Schizosaccharomyces pombe: one gene and its partners. Changing the gene in region 3 together with the main gene of any one other region gives a genetic interaction. Each region holds a gene or a part of one and is shown on either strand. Other genes may lie near its edges. The genes, in order: xap5, dak1, mug62 and sfp1.

Region 1 (3,593 bases), on a different chromosome or scaffold from region 3:
CAAGTTACAGATCTTTTTTTGGTGGTTCATGGTATCGGTCAAAAAAGATCAGAGACTGGTAAGTAAACTTGATTTTTTTTTATCTTACACCGGCATTCAATTACTAATGTTGACAATATAGAGGAACGATTCTTATTTACCAAGACGTGCAACGTTTTTCGTTCATTGATCCAAATTCAGAAAAACATAATGAAAGAGGATCCGTTGATTCGAAACGATTATGAACCACAACTTCTTCCGATATGTTGGAGAAATAAGCTTAATTTTAATTCATATATAAAGCCAGTTGCCGGTGATGAAGGACGGGTTGAGGATGAAGAATTTGAAGAAAATCGATTTTCAATTGAGGATATTGAAATTGATAGCATTCCAGCGGTGCGAAGGTTATTAGGAGATGTGATGAGTGATATTCCCTATTATATGTCTCATCACAAAGAATCCATTATAAAGTCTGTAATTCGTGAAGCTAATAGGGTTTACCATTTGTGGAAGGACTGCAATCCTTACTTTTTAGAAAACAAGGGCCGTATCTTTATAATTGGGCATTCTTTGGGCTCCACAGTTGTTTTTGATATTTTGTCACTTCAACCCACTTTTGTCAAAGAAATTACTATAGACGATGATGAAAGCTGCTTTATATTCGACACAAACGGTTTTTTTTGTTTTGGTGGTCCGGTAGGTTTTTTTTTGCATTTGAATCAACAAAGTATTATTCCTCGTCGTGGAAGAGGCTCATCAAGATACGAAATAAATAAAAACTTTATAAATTCTGATGTTCCAAAGTCATATACTTACGATGGTTATGATCGGTACGGATGTCTCGCAGTCGACTCTTTTTATAACATCTATAATCACCTTGATCGTAAGCGCATCATTAAATTATCGTATTTACTAACAAATTAGCCGTTGCGATGCGATTAAATCCCACAGTGGATCTCTCATTTTCGAAAGGCATCCACCCAACTCGTATACTGTTCACAAGAAAATCTTCAAGTATTTTGAGAATGATCTCACATTCTAATACTGATCCTGTGGAACTTCGAAGTTACAATCAATCTTTGCAGCAAAATAAAAACAATGAGCCCACAGCAGTGGTCCCACTGGAGCCTGAACAGACTGTCGAGTTAGAGACTCGCAATTTTCGCAGAGAAGAAAGGGCCAAGTGGCGCATGCAAGAGTTGAATGAAAACTCTCAGTTGGACTACGTATTTACGAGTGCCCATGGGGTCATTTCAAACAAATATCTTTCTATGCTTTCGGCTCATAGCAGTTACTGGAGTAGTGAGGATCTTGCTTGCTTTTTAGTAGTGGAAACTGGCCGAAACTTTGGTATTGCCAATTCAATTGAGCAATTTCGTGGAAAGCATATGCCACGTATATTCAAAGGGGACAGCTCTTGAAAATTTTCTTTTTATTTTATCTGACAGTATACCAGCGAGCTTCATATTTATTAGCGATGCGAAGTGGACAAATTAAAATGAATTTGATGAACATTGGATAATGATGATTTTTTAGGATCACTTTAATGACTTTATATATTGGCATTCGAAAGATGGTTTTGCATTCAATGACCAGATACGAAAATTTATTAGAGTATTTATAGCAACACTAGTGATTAGCTAGTTTTTTTTTTGTTTTTAATCTATTGCTATTTTTCCAAAGCTTGTTAATACAAACGAGTAATTCGTTTTATTTGTCTCTAGATTGGTTTTAAAAAGTGTCTATACAAGCAGTTAAAGATTACAGAATGCTTCAAAGTGCCCCACCTCGTTGTTATTCTATTTAATAACCGTTTTGACAAATATAAAAAACTTATATGCAACGTGACTTTGGCAAAGTGTGCGTTTATTCTAGGATCCCTCATAGGTAAATGTAAAAAACATGTTCTTCTTCTACGATAAATATAGTAATAGTCATTTCTTTCATTTTGAGATTTGAAAACCGAGGCAAAAAAAGGGTATTTTGGGTATTCAAGCTTATTTGGAAGAACGCTCACCACTCACGTTTTTTTGAATTCTTCATACAATGAGCGGCCATACTGATGCCGATGAAATTCATGAGATTTTACGAAATAGTACGACTGGTTTAGTCCATTTAAAGGATTATCAAAGAGTAAAACAAAACATCGTTGAAAAACGAGAGAAACATGCGCTATCAACCACAAGTACTAAAATGTAAGTGAAAAGAACGAGAAAAGCCCGATAGTATTCTAAATATGACTGACAATTCAATTTTAGAAAAAAGAGAAAAGATGCTTTAAGCAAAAAGGTCAAACAGGGCATTAAAGTTAACAAAGGAAAACTTTCTTTTGGTGAAGATGAAGAACTGGAGAATGATGATCTACCTTTAAAAAAAGTTGAGAAAAAAATGTTTATGGGAAAGGATCCATCTGCGGATACCTCCTTTTTGCCAGATGCAGAGCGAGAAATACGTGAAAACGCGAAGCGAGCCGAATATCGCAAACAATGGCTAAAAGAGCAGGAGCAAATTCGGGAAAAAGAGATTTTGATACCATTTATCTATTACGATGGAACAAGTACCACTTATCATGTAAGGACTAGATTGAAAGATTCGGTTGGACACTTTCTTGCTGATATGAAACAGCAAATCCCATTTTTGAAGAGGATTCTGGATATGGATAAATTTTTACTGGTTCAATCTGATTTAATCATTCCCCATCACCATGAGCTTTACTACTTTTACATTAATAAAGTTCAAGGACGTGATGGACTTTTATTTGACTTTGATAAGCTGTCATGCTCTAGTCCAGAAATGGTTGCAACTACACAACTTCCTTCTCAATGCATTCCTCATCTAGTTCAAAAATCATATTATTTACAAAATCGCCATGTGTTTCCATGTGTGCATTGGGAAGTCTTTGATTCTCGAAAAGATTATTCATTGGAAAAGCATGCAACTGATCCTAACGCTGCATTATTTTACCGGCCCTCATAATGCCTTTTAAAAAGTTTTCGATTTTTTTTCTCTTGGTTCTTTATTTTTGTTTTGCATACTCATACTTCCCTCATCGACTAATTTAATAACAATTTCATTACAACTATATTGTTTTTATGTTTGTATTTTAAACAAATGAATTGCGCCAAACATATAACTTGATAAGCTATACAAAGAGAGAGACTTTGGTAAAAAAGAAACAGATATTATCCACTAAGTATTCGCAATGGGTTTTAGTATTTACACTTACTACTCTCAACATCACTCCAACCTTGACTGAAAACCTTGATTTCATTGATGTGCTATAGGATATTGTAAAATAAAGTAATTAAAAAATTAGCAATTCGCTTTTGGAATTATTAAATGTTTCCTTTATTATTGAATTCTCATATTTCTGCTTGTTTTTATTTAATGTATCGCAGCGTTGGTATGCAAATACATAGTATTTGATCATAAACATATTAACGATACGTTAATTTGCGGTGGATTATACTGTGCTATTTAGGTATACAATTTTTGGTAAAGAAAAAAGTGATCGTGACTGAATGATGAGAATAACTATTCTATTGTAAATAAGAAATGAAATTCGCTTTTCGTTCTCTTGGAAGTATAAGCATGTCGCTTTTACGAATGTTCAC
Region 2 (4,069 bases), 480 kb from region 3:
TATATGATAACAGGTTTATCTTTATCTCATTGTAGGAAGTTGATCCTTCCTAAAAATACACTTTTACAGACCCTAGGAAGCTACATTCCTTTCGAAATTGCTGTTGGAATGAATGGTCGCGTTTGGGTCAATTCTGAAAATCTTTCTACTACGGTCCTCATTTGTACAGCTATCAGAAATTGCGAATTCATGTCTGATGAAGAGCAAATAAAGTACTGTAAAGACCTTATTAAAAAGCTCTAACGAGATTCAGAAAAAAAAATTTGAATAATATGCACAGTCTATTTAACAATTCTTGTCCAATTGGGTTTAATTCAAAAATGGTTTGCCCTTATCTAGGAGGGACCATTTCTGAATAAAGTGTATTGTTTCTTCTTTAATGCCTGTGTCTAATATTCCCATACAATTTCTGTCGTTCTTTTATTTATTACAGCAGCGTGTTCATACAATATCTACACTCGTCCTTTCTCAACTGTTTTAATTAAAAAATTACTTATTATAATGCATGAATATACAAATACAGATGCAAAGATAAGTAAGCAATAATTAATGCATGCATAATGAAAATATAATTGTTATTCGTGCTCGTAAATAGTTTTTAAGATCATACCAATTCTACAATCCCAAAAAAATTTCGTATCCAATTATTTCGTAAATCCTTCGACAATTGCAACGACACCAAGAGCGCCGGCATCGGGAACTTTAACATCATCACCAACGTAGACAGCACGTCCAAGTTTGGCTTGCATATCTGCAGTAGCATCAGCACCTTTACGAGCCTCCTCTACGGCAGCATTAAGATCATTAGTTTTAACAAATGTTTCGACAAATGGAACAAGAGCATCACACATAGTGCTGTCACCAGGACGAGCGGGAGTATACTTGAAAAGAGTATCAAGAGCAACCTTCAAACCAGCAGCCCATGTCTTAGATGAAATGTCCTTGCTCTTCTCCAAGGTGTCTTTCATGCCCTTCGCAAAGCCATGGAAGAAAATGGCGTACAAAGCACCAGATGTACCATCCATATTGTCTTCAATAACATCTGCGATATCACGAACAATACGAATAGGATCGTCAGAGAATTTGTCGGATTTAACAAACTTCAAAACACCTTCAGCACCACGCTTCAAAGTAGTACCACAGTCACCATCACCAGCCATCGTATCGAACTTTGTAATTTTAGGCTCTGCTTTGATGAGATTCTCCATCGAATTGACAATCGCCTGACGAACCTTCTCCTTATCGACAGTAACGGGAGACTTGACATCCTTCTGACCCTCCTCGATGCTGACATTGCCAATCTTGTTTTTGGACTTCAAGTCAGAGGGTTGACACAAAGGCCATCCGATAGCTTCAACAGGTTGGTCAATCAAATCAACCAAAGAGTATTCTTCGCCCTCGACTTTGACGCGGTCAGTGGTACGGAGCAAAGTGATACCGAAACCCAAGCCATTCAAACTGGTGGTAAATGGACCGGCAAAGATGCGAACGGGGTTGATTTTGTATTCTTTAGCCAATGCTTCCTTCACCTTGTGGCTAATGGCACTGAATTCAAGCATGGAAAGACCACCAAGGTTATTCATAAGTAAGACTACTTCATCGTCACCCTCAATCTTTACATAGGCACGGTCCTTGTCGGATTGATCCAACATTTGCTTAAGCATCTGAGCGATTAGGTCATCAATAGAGGGAATAGGGGAAATACGCTTGCATCCAGGTTCATTGTGAATACCCATTCCAAGTTCCATTTCATCATGTTTCATTTCATCTTCTTTTGCAATTGGCTCATGACCAGGGACGTGAACGTGAGCGAGTGAAGCACCGATACTAACCAAATTGTCAATAGCAGCCTTAGCAATGGTCGTAACGGCTTCCAAAGGTAACCCTCTGGCGGCAGCTGCACCAGCGATTTTGTGAACAAGAACAGTACCAGACAAACCACGACGTCCGACCTTACCGCTCTTCTTACGACCTACTGATACGTCATCTGCAACGGCAATAAGTTCAGCCTTCTTACCAGCCGTTCTTTGCTTCTCCAAGGCCATACCAAAGTGAAGGATGTCACCGGTGTAGTTTTTGCAAATTACCAAGGTGCCAGCCTCAGATTCGACTTGCTTAATACCGGTATAAATTTGCTTTGACGAAGGAGAAGCAAAAATGGAGCCTGAGACGGCGGCAGTAAGCATACCCTTGCCCACGAACGAAGAATGAGTGGGTTCATGACCAGCACCACCGCCGGAAATGACACTGACATTCTTTTTGTTGTAGTCATGGAAATAGATGAATTTTCCCTCTTCATGAACAGTTAAAGTTTTGTTCATGTCGGCCAAGGATTTAAGGCCATCAAGGACGAGGACTTCAGGATCGTTGATAAAGTGCTTATCCATATTTTAGAATAATAAGAAAAAGGTAAAAAAAAGAGAATAAAGCCTTAAAATAAAATTAAATATAAGTTGGATAGTTAAATCAAATATTCCCGAAATTTATGATCTAAGAATATAAAATGACTTGTTTTAGGTGGTGGGGAAGTGCAAGTGTGAGTAAAGGATTAAAGAAATAAATCTATGTGTCTCTAAAATCTCAAAATATTAATATCAAAATTCCCTTCAATGCGAAAAAATTAACACTTTATACGCTACTATGCTTCAACTGGTTTAAATACAAAATAAATAAACCAAGAATATACTAGTAAACGTTTCGTTTCGTTACGTTATGTCTCGTTTTCGTTTCGCTATTTCGTAAAAGTTATGAGTGTAGCGGAAAAAGGGAGCTTGAAGACGATTTAATAATGCTGGCCTTGTCTCTCTATATATACTATATAACCACCAATTTGCATGACGAAGTGCCCCGCACGTAACGGAAGTGATATTATGCTGAAACAGTGAATAAACACATCTAGATAACCGTAGAACCGTTTTTCATACCCTTCAACTAATTACGAAATGTTGCCGATATGAACAATTAAATTAAATATCAGCTTGCCTTGCCGAAGATGACCTCAATCCATTTTCCTAGTCAAAGAAAAATTTCGCTGACCTTTTGTAGATCATATGCTAGAAAAGTAGTAAAATCGCAGCGTAAACTTGAGTCACCTTTATGTAGCAAAAGATTGCCTTAAAAGGGCAAACTCTACCAATGCCCAAAGAAGCAATGGGACAGGACGATGGCTATTTATTGAAATTGTTAAATCGTTACGAACTGCCATAAGAACCTTAATTAAAAGAAGGTTGTCGAAAAGTGCTCCGGTCTGCACATGTGGAACCAGTCATCTTAGTTAGTGCAGCCCCGGTATTCCACGGTGAAAAGCAAGTTTGCAGTGTAGAAGACAAATGGACCATTTGTTCATCAGTATATACAGTTAGTTAAAAGGATACGAAAGGCTGGATCATTTAGTGAACGAAGTCGCAAGTGAAATACTTGTTCATTATTATGTTCTGGTAAAAAAACCAACTTTTATTACTACAGCAGGAAAACAAACAAAAGTAACATATTGTTGGCAGAAAACACACAACCGAAAAAAACCTGTCTACTAGGAAATGGATCATTTTGATACTTCTGATCCGTTAGATACATTGCAGAACAAAAGATCGACCGAAAGGTTATCAATGACAAAATCTCTCTGGACCCTTTTGTTCTCATCTCTATTCTGTCCAAACCATCATCATCTAGTTCAATTCTTCTTGGACTCTGGTTTGGATGGAATAGTCAAACATTTAATGCCGTACTCTTCCGTAATCATGGCAATGACATGTGCAACAAAGTTGCCGTAAACACCAATGCAAATTCCAACGTAGCAAAAAAAGTATTCCGTCTGAACGTTTTTTAATACGCCAAAAGTATAGGCGTCCACGGCATCCACCAAGAATGGAAGAATAAGCACATTCCAGTATGGGAAGGGAGATTCGGTAATGTGAGAAACAATTACCACTCCAACCGAATAAGCAAAGATAAAAGCGTTCAAGCAAAAAATAGTGAGGAAATGATGTTCAAAGAAAGCAGGATACTTGGCATAGAGTGAAAAGACAGCCATCCATTGGAGGAAATAGGGAAGGATACCACTCAATGCTTT
Region 3 (7,072 bases):
CCTGTTGAACGAGGATGTAAGTATCTTTTAAGGCTCCATAATTTATCGATTGATAGGTAAATGAAGTTTCGCCTACCTTTGGCTTTCAAATTCGAACGCTTGAAGTAGAAGGACTCCGATTCACGATATGTACGTAGCTTGCAATTTTCGAAATGAACAGTCTTAAGCTTACTAATTCAAGGGGACATTGGGGGGCAGAAAACGCTAAGAAATTTTTGGAAAAATTACTTTGAATCAACCGAAGCAATTATTTGGGTTGTTGACAGCTTGGATGATTTACGTTTAGAAGAATGCAGAAATACATTACAAGAATTGTTGGTAGAAGAGGTAGGCTGAAAATGTGAATTATCTTAACATGCATATAGAAACTTTTGTTTACTTCAATTTTGGTTCTCGCTAATAAGTCTGACGTTTCCGGCGCACTTTCATCCGAAGAAATTAGCAAAGTCAGTTTACAATTTATGAATCCAAGCTAACAACAAGTCAAGATATTAAATATTTCTAAATATAAATCATCGCATTGGCGGATTTTTTCGGTTTCAGCATTAACGGGCCTTAATATCAAAGACGCGATAAGCTGGCTTGCTAATGATCTAAAGGAGATTAAGTTGGGAACTATTGATTATTAAGTTTTCATCCGAGTAATCGTAAGAATCGGTTGTTCCAATCAACTCAGTACCTACAAAATCTTCGTTGAGAAGAAAGTCCTGTCGAATTAAATAGCTTGTCATGTGTTTCCTAAAATATTGTTATTTAGGCTTCTCATTAATAAAGATCACTTACAGGTCTCCTCCAGTCCATTGTTTTAGGATGTCTGCTCTCCTTTTCTCACCAGTTGGACGACGCAAAAATGTTCCTTTCGGTACGAAGGCAACACAATCAAGTATGATTTCATGTGCTGCCAAAGCCGTAGCAACAATAATTGGTATTAGGCTAGCGAATTTTTGCTGACTATGTACTTCCAGAAGAATTACTACGGATCCTGACGCTTGAAATAATATGCTGTGACATTAGCCTCTATAGTTTGTGATGCTACTTACCACCCATCTGTGCAAATGTTGGGATGCACTAATTCGATTGTTTCTTCAATATCCTTTACGGAATGGTTAAGCCCGTTTAATTCGAGCGTATTCCATATGAAATCTAAAGTATATAAAACTGGAACTTTTTCCATATTCTGGTCTTTTTTCTTCAAATGATGAATGAAACCTAACTGCCCTGTTCTCGAATAGCTCTTTTTATCTAATGTCTCTTGCACTAGAAGCTCGCATCCAGAGTTGAGTTCGTTGTTTTCACAATATGAGCCGTGCTTTCCGTTAATCCAAATTTCTCCAATTTCTCCTTCTTGACATATGTATTTTTCTTCAGGGTGAACTATGCATATTTCATTGTATAATGTGCTCTATATTAATTAGTAAATTGCTGCCTAATACTTTTCACGTACAGTTCCGGACCCATAAAGGAGTGGTTGTCTGTTTCTTAGGACATCCTCTCTTACGTTTACGAGACCGCTTCTTAGCTGATTGGCATCAAAGTAATCCTTCATTTTTTCCATGCTCGAATCCGCATTCCAACAAACGAAAGGATTGATCGGATGAGAGTATGCCAATTTTACCTTGTTGGGAGCTAGTCCAATTCTGGCGATATCTTCAATTATACTATTAACTAGGTCTTGTTAGTAAATGCGTCTTTCTGTTTTCCTACTTACCTCTAGAACTTATTGGTCTGTCGTAGCAAGGCACAATAATGCTTGACAAAGTGGAGTTAATAACAATGCTATTACAACCTTGAGCTGTTGAAAAGCTTTTCTGACAAATGTTAAGTGGAATCATAACCTTTGATAAAGAGTTTTGCTCGATAGCCTCAAAAAGCAGGCTACCATTGTTACATAAGTTTTCTTGTTTTATCAATAAAGTTGGTACTCCTATAATATGCGTTAATTATTTTTTTCACATTTTGAAAATATTTACCTGCATATACTCCAAGCAAGGCAGTATGCAATAGGCCCATTCCACTTGAGAATTCAATCCCACCAATGATTGGTTTTTCTTCATTTCCAATTACAAATTCTTTTTGTTCATGGCAAAATGCCAGAAGACTAGAATGAGAAAATTGCGTTGGGATGATGGAACCATCTTCCAGCTTATTAATACTAATTAGCGCGACTTTCCCTTTATTATTCAATTCCCCCGGGGTTATTAGATTCAATGCTTTTTTTGCACGTTTTGAAATGGGGATTCCAGTAGTTTCAAATATTTTGGGTGCCTTCATGTTGAGGTCAATGCAAGTTTGTTGAAAGTGATTTGAAATATCCCTGGATTTTAAAGATATAAGAACTTTATGATCAACAAGGATTGCTTCCACATTGAAGGCCTTTGCAATTTTTGTGAATTCTTCTATTTCCCCAATCAATTGTGATATTTCACGAATTTGAAACGGTATTGGTATCACCCCTAGGTGAAAGCAGCTATGTATGCTGATCAAAAACTCTAATGGGTCGTAATAAAGAAGTAAAATATGTGATCTTGCTTTAGCTTTAACTGATAACTGCATATATTCAACATGAGATGCAACTTTCAGCTCAAAATGGGCCCAAGTCAACTCTACTTTTGTTTTTTCGATAGCATTAAAGGTTAATATGGCAGGTGAAGTTGGTGTCTTTGCAGATTTGGTTTTTAAAAAGTCAAGGATAGTAAAGTGATTAAGCAGATTTTCTCGTGCTTTACTAACTTTGTTTTGATGCTTGTACGGATCCATCTTTTGTTTAACATTTAAAGAGATAATCTCTCTATGATGTTTGGAGGCATCTTTTGACCAAATTCCTTTTGAATTGTTTAAATTAATTTTAGATTTTGGTAATGCTGAATCCATGAAAAACCTAACATAGGATACAGGAAGATTTCCTGACAAAAAGGCCAGTTTACACTTATTCGTGTTGATTGCTTGGATTCCCATATACCTGGATCGAGGTAATGATTTGTAAGGAGCAATAAGTATGCTTAGGACATCTAATTTGAATATGTCTTGAGTGACTTGGAAGCTGCTCTCTGTTATTTTTACCAACTCTGAGAACAAATCTCTTCCTTTAAGCCGATTATTTCGAATTAACGAACGCTTAATAATTGGACTTTCAAGTACTAAAACGGAGTAAACTGCTTTGTCGATTTCTATTTCAAAGGCGACACCATCAAAAATTTCGGGAACATATTTCATGATTTTTTTAATCAAGTAATGAGAATAGTGTACATATTTTTCTTCCATTAACTTATCAGCGACCATTGTTTTCCGATATTGCCTGATTTGTTCATCTTTGTTTCCAAGAACAAAAATCTTTTCGTTATGCAAAAATCCTTTTAGACCACTATCCATGAATGAGTTATTCTTTTCAAATTTATTTTCTTGGTTGTTTTCGTAATCAGTTAATTGTTCCCCTTGTGGGTTGTTAATCACGCTAGCAGCTTTCAACTTAGGAAGACAATCAGAATAAACCCAAATTTCTCCAACTTCACCAACTTTGCATATATTCTTCGAATCTTCATTAACAACTGCCACTGATGCCTCAGGGATTGGATACCAAAAGGGAGACATGCAAAGGACTTCGTTAGGAGAATATTTTCGGATATCTAGAAATGGAACAATTTCCACTTTTTCCTTTTCTATTGAACTCTTTAATACCAAGATCTCTTGATAACAAGTATCGGCCATTTGCCGTTCATGTTTCTGTCTGTTGGTGTAACTGATCATCCAGTCTTTGAATGAAATAGGTATTCCACCAAACTTTCGCAAACATAATATCGGAGTGATTACCTCTTTGGAATTATTGGTACCTAAAGGTTGCAACCACCTATCTGAGACTATAATGTTGAATTCCGGGTCTACTACTTCGCATTCAACCATACACAACTTCAAGGACGAAAGGTTCGGTGTATAATTTTTTTTAAATGAAAGTGTAGATTTAGGATCCTCCTGATAATTGTACACTGTCTGCTTCAGTCCAGCATAATCAAACAAACTGTATGTACATCGATATTTAGTAATTAAATATGCTAATAAACCTGGCGTTTTTAGTACTTCTTCATCACAAAAGATGGTACAATATCCTGCAAACACAGAGTTGAATACCCCCATGATCAATCCTAATGGCATAGATGGATGGAAATTGGTAATGAGAACATCTTTCGAATCCTCAAAATTATGGAGCTTCCATCCAGCTTGACGAGCTGGATTGGTTATCATGGACGATGTCAGATTTCTCATCTGACTTAAAAATGTTTTCGTGGTATAAACAGCCTTAATATCATTATAGGTCGAGGAGCTGAACGTGTAATCAATGAGAACTGTGTCATTCGCACGCATCCGATACTGTTTGATTTGTTCAAATTTGTAGTTTGTAAAGTCGTTTGATTTCCACCATGCAAGGCTTTTTGCATTATTCACCTCTGTATCTTTTATGAAGATACGATAAGTAGCCTCTGTAGTAAATGCGACACGAACTTTTTCTTCATTGACAACCAACTTGAGACTTTCTGAAGATGAGGAAGGACTCAAAGGAATTACTACTATTCCAAGCAACAAACAGCCAAAGATACTAATAATATATTCTGAAGCTTCCGATTTTCGATAATATAAAATTACTCTGGTTCCAGGTTTAAGTCCAACGTGATTTTGCGCAACAGACGCAAATTGTTTAGCTCTATTCAGGATTTTATCCCAACTGTAACTCACAGCTTCTTTCCCTTTTTTATCGATACAAATATGAGCAGTAGAAGTTGGATTTTTATTTCTTCGATACTCAAGGACAGATATAATATCCTGCAGCGCCATCATTGAAAATGTTGGATTTCGTGGATCATTAATTTCAAATCTGGCTCTACGTGGAACTGTGAATTGTAGTTTTTCAGCTGCTGTGGCAGTTGATATATCTGCAAACAGCTTCTGAGATACTTTGGCCAATTGTGGTTGCAGCTCTGCATCCCTTGCTCTTTTCACATATTTTAACACTGGGTCTGGTATTGTCTCAAAAGGCAACTTGCTTTTATCTTCATATTTCGAATGCCTTACGGGATGGATTTTTTCGTTTTCTGAAGGTTTCATAAATCTCAGCACAGTATGACTATCCTTGAAATTTTTGCATTTAGTAATTTTTTTTTATATTACTCTTACCGTTTCACTTTTATAATAGACATCGTTTGCTTTCAGCATATGCGCATCTGTTCGAAGGGCTGAACCAGCAGAACCAATTTCAGATATAACATCCTCTTCTATGTCATGCAGTTTTGTCTTCTTATTGAAGTTGAAAAATGATTTTAGACTCATTTTATGGCTCACGTTCGCATACAGTTAGGAATTGAGGATTCCAAAGCTTGTATGAGAAATGTAAACAAATCGCTTATGTTACCTGTTACCTGATTGACTTCACTAAGGATAAACAATAACATTGAATGAAGTAAAAGTGTACTAAGTTTACAAATCCTAATTCAATTTAAAAATTTAGAAAGACTATGCTCTATCCCTGTTCCCCATCATTATTCATTTATGTGCGCAATTAATTTTACAAAATTAACAGTAAATACCAATCTTTTTTATACATATTAGAACGCAAAAAGTTGGATTGTATCAGCTTTTCGAAAAAAGATGCATCTACCAGGGATCGAACCTGGGACCGTCTGCGTGTAAAGCAGAAATCATAACCACTAGACTACAGATGCAACATACAACTAACAGTACTAATTAATATAATTTATTAACTAAGAAACCTGTCTTTACTAATAACGATTGAGAAAAAAGTGATAACAACAGGCTAAGCATTATGCGCTAACTTTGTTTAATTAAAAGTAAACATTCGCAAATTTTGTTGATAACAATGGACAAATTTAGTTGAATACCCCCATATTCATCGCTGTTTATTCTACCTTTCAGAAACTGTTCTTGTTAGTCAAAAGAAACAATACCTGAATAGAAACATTTTGCGGGAATTCATTCTTGCAAATTGTAGATAATTTATTTAATTTAAAACATTTTACGCTATAAATTTAATGATAAGTTACAAATTGCCGCCTTTTTTGCTTTAACATGATGAAAGTTAATTAGTAATAAAAAAAATTATATGAACAGAAGCAAGAGACCTTAATTTAGTACGTGTGATACTATTAATGTTTATTACGTTCAAAATGATGATTGTACCTAGAAGTGCAAAATATTACTAACCGATTTTTACGCGCATGCTTCAGAACTGCTTGCATTTGTCTAACTTGAACACCACACGTTCGGTCTCATAGTATTGTTGAGTAAATAAACACAGTTACCAAAGAGAATTGAAACCTTACTTTATTAAAACTGAAATCTGAACATGAAACGAAGAGCTACTTTTCAATGTCCATTAATTGAATCTACCATAAAACATCAATCTACTAATTATACCAAAACAGAAACAGCAACTACCTCACACGAAGTATCTGAAAATGCAAATGAACATAAAGGAAAATCAAATATCGACATAAACAAAATTGCTTATTACAATGTTGTATGGTATGGTAGCACAATCTCTTTTTTGACTTCATGACTAAACGCGTCAGGAGAAAAATTACTATGAAGAAACATAAAACATGGGAAGGGGATGGCTTTCTCGTTAGAGAAGACTCAAATTTGACTCTTTATAATTCAGATTTTACAAGGTATTCCTACATGTCGAACTTACTAAAAATGAAGTCGCAAACAATATAGCATCTTTTATTGAGAGATATTTTTTATTAATATATGTTAAAGACTCGGATCCTGTCATTCGAGGGTGCCACAAATCAAAGAAGGAGAATTGCTTCGCATTTCCGGGAAAGAAATATCTGTAAGATATACATGTAAGCGAATGTTTCTCATCATCTTTAGATTGAGAAGGAAATCTCTGCAGAAAGTTATGAAGCAGGCACACATATAGATGATTCTCTCCGAGACGTTCATATGCCTGAAATGAAGCGTAAATTCAAGCCACCTTTGAGACCTAACACAATGTACCAGACAATATCAGCACTACCCAAACCGAGGCATGATCCTACTGTGCTTGGAGCTTTGGTGATGA
Region 4 (5,126 bases), 3.7 Mb from region 3:
GAGCTTTTTCCATCGTTATACACCTATAGCTTTGTACGAAGTTCAAAGGCCCAGATTAAATGATAGACCGCCTCTATATACCGCGAGAGATGAGATGGAAACTCTCTTGGCCAGTAATAAAGTTACGGACTGGGTTAAATTGAGTGAGTTCTTCCTAGGTCCTACTCCTGAGCGATTCACCTTTACACCAAAGCACAAAAGCAATAGTGTGGAAGAGGCAGAGGGATAAACAACTTATGGTCTTAGTGTATCGAGCATTCACTTTCTTCATATGCATCATCAACTTTTCATACTTAATACTGGCTTATCATCTGGATTGAATTAAGTAGATTAATAAAATATCTGGTGACTTATATACGAGTGATCTGTGTTTGTCTCGTAAAATGCGCAAATGACTAGGCAAATTGGTAATGAATCTAACGTTATATAGTCAACTTACCCAATGGGAACTAACCAACGATCTTACAGTACTCTACAATTACTATCGAAACTACGTTGTGAAATAACTTAGCAAATATATGGTAAATAACACTGCCATACATATTTATTAACTTAAAAGGTATAATAATAACAGCAAGAGGATATTTGGTACAAAAATAACTTAATACACAATAAAAACCATTAAAAATCCAGAATCCCAAAATGACAAAACAAAAAATTAAAAAACAAAAAAAAAGCAAACAAAACAAACACAGCCATCATGTAGGTAATAAAGTAAGTGCAAAATTAACGGGAATGAATCAAAGGAGACAGGTTCACTTTACAGCTAATTCGATTGTTGTATGCAGATAAATGCAAGCCCGTAAACATCAAGCAAACTCCACACAACATGTCTACCCTTCTCAAACTTAAAAGCAAAGATAGACATAAAAGTATTCAAACTTGAAGATACGAAACTGAGATACAAATCTCATGTTCAAATATTACAAAGGCAAAAAAGAGCATATTTATGCGGTGCGCATAAAGTTCATTTGAACTTCCCGTTGAGCTTGGGCCATAGACACTTGTAGATGACTATGTGTACGATGATATTTCAAACCGTTTAAGTTTTTATATCTTTTACTACAAACTTCACAGCGATAAGGCTTGTTTTCCACAACAAACCCTTGATGAGGAATTGGAGCTGGTGTTGGAGTAGTAATGGGGGAACAGTGTCCATGAAGTTTGTGATACTTCAAACCATTTTGATTCTTATAAGCCTTATCACAATTAGGGACAGGGCATTTGTATGGCTTGTCTACAACCACCAAGTTAGAGCCTGGGTAATCAATAGTGAGCGGTGAATCGTGTGAGAATGCAGGAGTAGAACGCTGCTTTTTAGATGGCTTAGCTTCCAAATCACTAGAAGATTTCCTAACAAATGGGGATGAGATTGCTGAGTTTGTGGCTGCGGGTGAAACTACTTCAGGAGTAGGAGACATGCTAGACTCTGTGAATTGATCGGCGGATGCGACAGATGGAGCAAATGAAAAAACATCGTGATCGTAATTGAATGGGGGAAGATATGTAGAGTCAACCATGTCCTTTTGATTGAACGCAAAAACATTATTGGCAGCGGACTCACCAACGTCAATAGACATGCTCATGTCACTGAGAGGGGAGCTTGCATCCATTACCAATGATTCAGGCATCTTTTTCGGGGTACCAGTTGTCTCTGCTTGACTACTGGCCTCGTCACTGCTCATGTCGGAGCTGGCAGCGGCAGCAGCAGCAGCAGCAGCGGCAGGTACGACAACGGAAACGCGGTAAGGGCCAGGAGCACCACCGTTAGCAGGAAAGGCAAATGGTAAAACAGCAGAATTATCAGAAATTTCAGAAGTTCCAAGCTGATCAGCAAGATCATGCATACGGATGCGCTCACGCTGTTTGAGCGCTTGAATATGAGAATGATTAGATTGAGCAGCGTTGTTGCTATCCAAAGAATATTCTTGAGGAACAGCAGAATCAGTTGCCAGAACGGCGTGCTGCTCTTCATAATGGTGAATAAGTTGATGCAAATCTTCGAGAGTTTGACCACAGCAGCGGAAATCACGGCAAAATGCTTCTTCTAACCGGTTTAGATAAGAGGTAGAATCCTCTTCGGGAATCGTTTGTGACTCAACCACGTTAGAAAGAGATGGAATAGTATCACGAAGCCAAGCTTGTCCACTAAAGCTATTTCCCCAAGACTGTGGACTCATTCCAAAAGAGGTAGCATGAATGCTGTTAAAGGAATTTCCGTTGTAGTTGACATTGTGATGGGAAGGCTTATTGATAGGCAATGCGAGAGATGGCATATTGAAAAGTTTTTAAGGGAATTAATAAAATTAAAGAGATAAAAGAGAAAATTAAAAGATAAACCGATAAATAGAAACCAAATTAAAAATTATATACCAATGATGAAAAAATAGAATAAAAATAACAAAATAATTTAGTAAGTTATTTTTTGAGAAATCAGGGAATAATGCACTTAGAAAACTCGACTTAAGGAAGGCAAGTTCTTAGAGAGCGCTGAGAGGGGTAAAAAAAGGCAATTAAAAAAAGACTGAATGTAAAATCTAATGAAATTCGACGAACTATAAATTCGAAAAAAAAAGGAAAAAGTTTCTAAAAGAAGAATTTACCAAGCAAAAAAATGAAGGTAAACTATTTTTAAGCACTAAATTACCCAAGTGTAATTAGTGTATTGTAATGTTTTAAGTGGAAACCCCAAAGTGACTTATCTAATTTTTTCAGTCTAAACAAATTGGCGATTAACGGATGATAAATGTATAATATAAATAAGATGAAAAGAAAGGGAGTAAAAACCTTTTAAAGAATCCTTTTTAATCAACAAAGAAAGTCAAGTAATAACGAATCGAGTCGAGGAAACTGTTCGATTCGACTTTTTTTTAAAATAAAGCGAAATAGTAAATAATTTACGCTTTGATTCAATGAACAATCGAGATCAATCGAAAAGAGTGGTGATACTTCAAAAGAGTAATCTTTTTTTTGCAGGCAACTAGTGGACGCAATATATGTTGCAAGCGAATTTTTTTTATAAATATGTTTAATTTTTTTTAAGTTGAATATATGGTATTCAACAACAATTCTATGATTGTACTAACTCCCTTAAGTTAAGTAAGTATATTTGCTTCTGCTTCCTTCGTGTCGTCCTCACGTTGAAGTTAGTCAGAATAAGGCGTTAAGAAGGGTAGGACGGTGTTTAAGTAGTAATTGATAAGGTGATTTAGCAAGCCTTCTCGTTACGTATGTATAAAGGTAACAAGGATAAAAGGGTCAAGTAACAGTGACGCCGACTATGCGAGCGAATAACAGTGAAGCTTTCAGACTTAAACACCTAATGAGGGGCCCTTAAATATAAGAAAGCCAATCAGAGTACACAGAGTGGATCGAACTTGGATCAAAGTAATTAGGGGTAACAATGCAACTTCGTCAGTGCCGTATCGGAAGGTCGTTACTTCCAATAGATGGGGCCGAAGACAAGGGGCGAATAGTTTCTAGACAAAGGGTCGCAAATGAACGATGGCGGATGGCTTGGAGCTCAGTGCAGAATTAAGCGGTACGCAGCTTAGCGTTATAGTGTCCTAATATACGGTCAAGTGCACACGGGTACAGTAACACACACAATCTTTGTTTATGTGTTTCTCGGAAAATCGAAGCGGCTAAAAACGTTTAGCGATTCAAATGTTGGTTCGGTAATCAAACTTGAGGCAGGGTTCGCAGTCTGGTCACGTTGTGAAGCAGCTAATGGGGAATGGATGGAGGCAGACAATGAAGATCGTTGTCGGTTATACCAAATTTACCGGGAAAGCAAACTCAAGGAATTTGCGAGATACAATGTCCTTTCAAGGGTTAATTGGTAAAGTAAACGACTATGAAATGAAAGAAATATCGTCGTTTAATTGAAATGGAGGAAGGATATTTCTCTTCTTTGTGCTAGTAAAGAGAAGACGGATATTTTTGGAAGAGATGTAAAAAGACAAGCAAACAAGAAAATGAAAATGGACGTCTAGCGATTTTACAAGAAAAAATTAGACGGGAAAAGGGAAAAGAAAAACTAAAGCTTATAGGAAATGGAGCTAAAAAAATATCTAGATAGAATAGCTTGCGAATGAAGAAAAAAACAAACTATCGTACAAGATAAACCAAATATATAAACCTTACAACAACCCAAAAGAAAATGATTGAAAGTAAGGTGAAGATCAGTAACTAACAAAGGAACAGAATGGAATAACAAGTATATAACTAAGTAAATAAATAAATAAAGAATCGGTATTATCACAGATAAATGAAAAGATAATACACACAACGATGAAGAGAATATAAAAAAAAAATTGTTTCGTTAGAATCAAAGGAAGTTTTTAACAGAACGGAGTTTTTTATTTTTTTTCGTAACCAAAAAAGACTTTTAGAAAAATTGCAAGGATTTAGAGCAATACTGATGATTTCATACAAACGATTGGAGAATGGGATGTATTGTATTGAAACCAATGAACTGAATCGAATCGTTAAGAGGAAATTTTTTTTTAATAAACAATGCAGTTTGTGTTTGGCATTAGCGAAATCCACATCCATTATATAGAAATGGAAAGTCAACGTCAAATGTCCAATCTATCAATTCTTCGTTTTCTTCCAGAAACTCTTAAGCATCATTTTCATTATTTAACAATCCCATCATTTGTCCACATATCCACCACACTTAGGTCAGTAGTTGAAAAGATGAAATTCGCAGGCATCACACTCAATACCAAAGGCAATGAATTTACAACGTTTTAATTACATTTCTCAGCAATCTTCTAGGGTTCTGGCCATTGGATAGTTTATGATGCTTCTATATCAAACACACTCTACCATGATGTCAAGGGCGCTGGCGCTATGGCAAGCGAAGGGATATGAACAAGGACCAAGATAAAAGTGATTCTGACTTGGTTCATGAATGAAAAACTACAGACAATTTGATAGGATTAATAATTGAAGAAAACGATAAAGAAATTCATACATCCCAAGGAGTAATCTATCGTCTATGAGAAAAAAATGAAAAAATGACATTAGTAAACAAGTGTCAAGAGAGTATGGGTCAACAACATCAAAACGACATTGTCGCATACAATTCAAGTGAGACAGATTCAATTCTTCCTATACGC

The links.
Region 1: mutations in mug62 (region 3) and xap5 together harm fitness less than expected from each alone (positive genetic interaction), as found in Schizosaccharomyces pombe (one large-scale study listed by BioGRID).
Region 2: mutations in mug62 (region 3) and dak1 together harm fitness more than expected from each alone (negative genetic interaction), as found in Schizosaccharomyces pombe (one large-scale study listed by BioGRID).
Region 4: mutations in mug62 (region 3) and sfp1 together harm fitness more than expected from each alone (negative genetic interaction), as found in Schizosaccharomyces pombe (one large-scale study listed by BioGRID).

What each region holds. Positions count from the first base shown.
Region 1 is NC_003421.2:753,232-756,824, forward strand, and holds xap5 (splicing factor, xap-5-like protein), read left to right. Parts: upstream 1-2,020; 5' UTR 2,021-2,025; coding exon 2,026-2,174; exon of another isoform or gene 2,175-2,237; coding exon 2,238-2,955; 3' UTR 2,956-3,059; downstream 3,060-3,593. Other genes in the region: SPOM_SPCC1020.13C (DDHD family phospholipase), read left to right, coding at 1-58, 122-862, 904-1,400.
Region 2 is NC_003424.3:1,175,383-1,179,451, reverse strand, and holds dak1 (dihydroxyacetone kinase Dak1), read right to left. Parts: upstream 2,533-4,069; 5' UTR 2,388-2,532; coding exon 645-2,387; 3' UTR 555-644; downstream 1-554. Other genes in the region: exosome subunit Rrp40, read left to right, coding at 1-243; ept1 (CDP-alcohol phosphatidyltransferase class-I family protein), read right to left, coding at 3,671-4,069.
Region 3 is NC_003424.3:697,440-704,511, forward strand, and holds mug62 (putative AMP binding enzyme), read right to left. Parts: upstream 5,317-7,072; coding exon 5,164-5,316; exon of another isoform or gene 5,119-5,163; coding exon 1,971-5,118; exon of another isoform or gene 1,925-1,970; coding exon 1,709-1,924; exon of another isoform or gene 1,666-1,708; coding exon 1,445-1,665; exon of another isoform or gene 1,403-1,444; coding exon 1,041-1,402; exon of another isoform or gene 1,003-1,040; coding exon 784-1,002; exon of another isoform or gene 739-783; coding exon 594-738; downstream 1-593. Other genes in the region: GTP-binding protein involved in beta-tubulin folding Alp41, read left to right, coding at 1-16, 57-129, 182-327, 366-446, 489-629; ATP-dependent DNA translocase Rdh54, read left to right, coding at 6,350-6,528, 6,576-6,674, 6,766-6,841, 6,883-7,072.
Region 4 is NC_003424.3:4,431,357-4,436,482, forward strand, and holds sfp1 (transcription factor Sfp1), read right to left. Parts: upstream 3,158-5,126; 5' UTR 2,277-3,157; coding exon 948-2,276; 3' UTR 513-947; downstream 1-512. Other genes in the region: tRNA dihydrouridine synthase Dus3, read left to right, coding at 1-229; SPOM_SPAC9E9.01 (uncharacterized protein), read left to right, coding at 3,505-3,541, 3,583-3,845; SPOM_SPAC9E9.02 (uncharacterized protein), read right to left, coding at 4,261-4,557.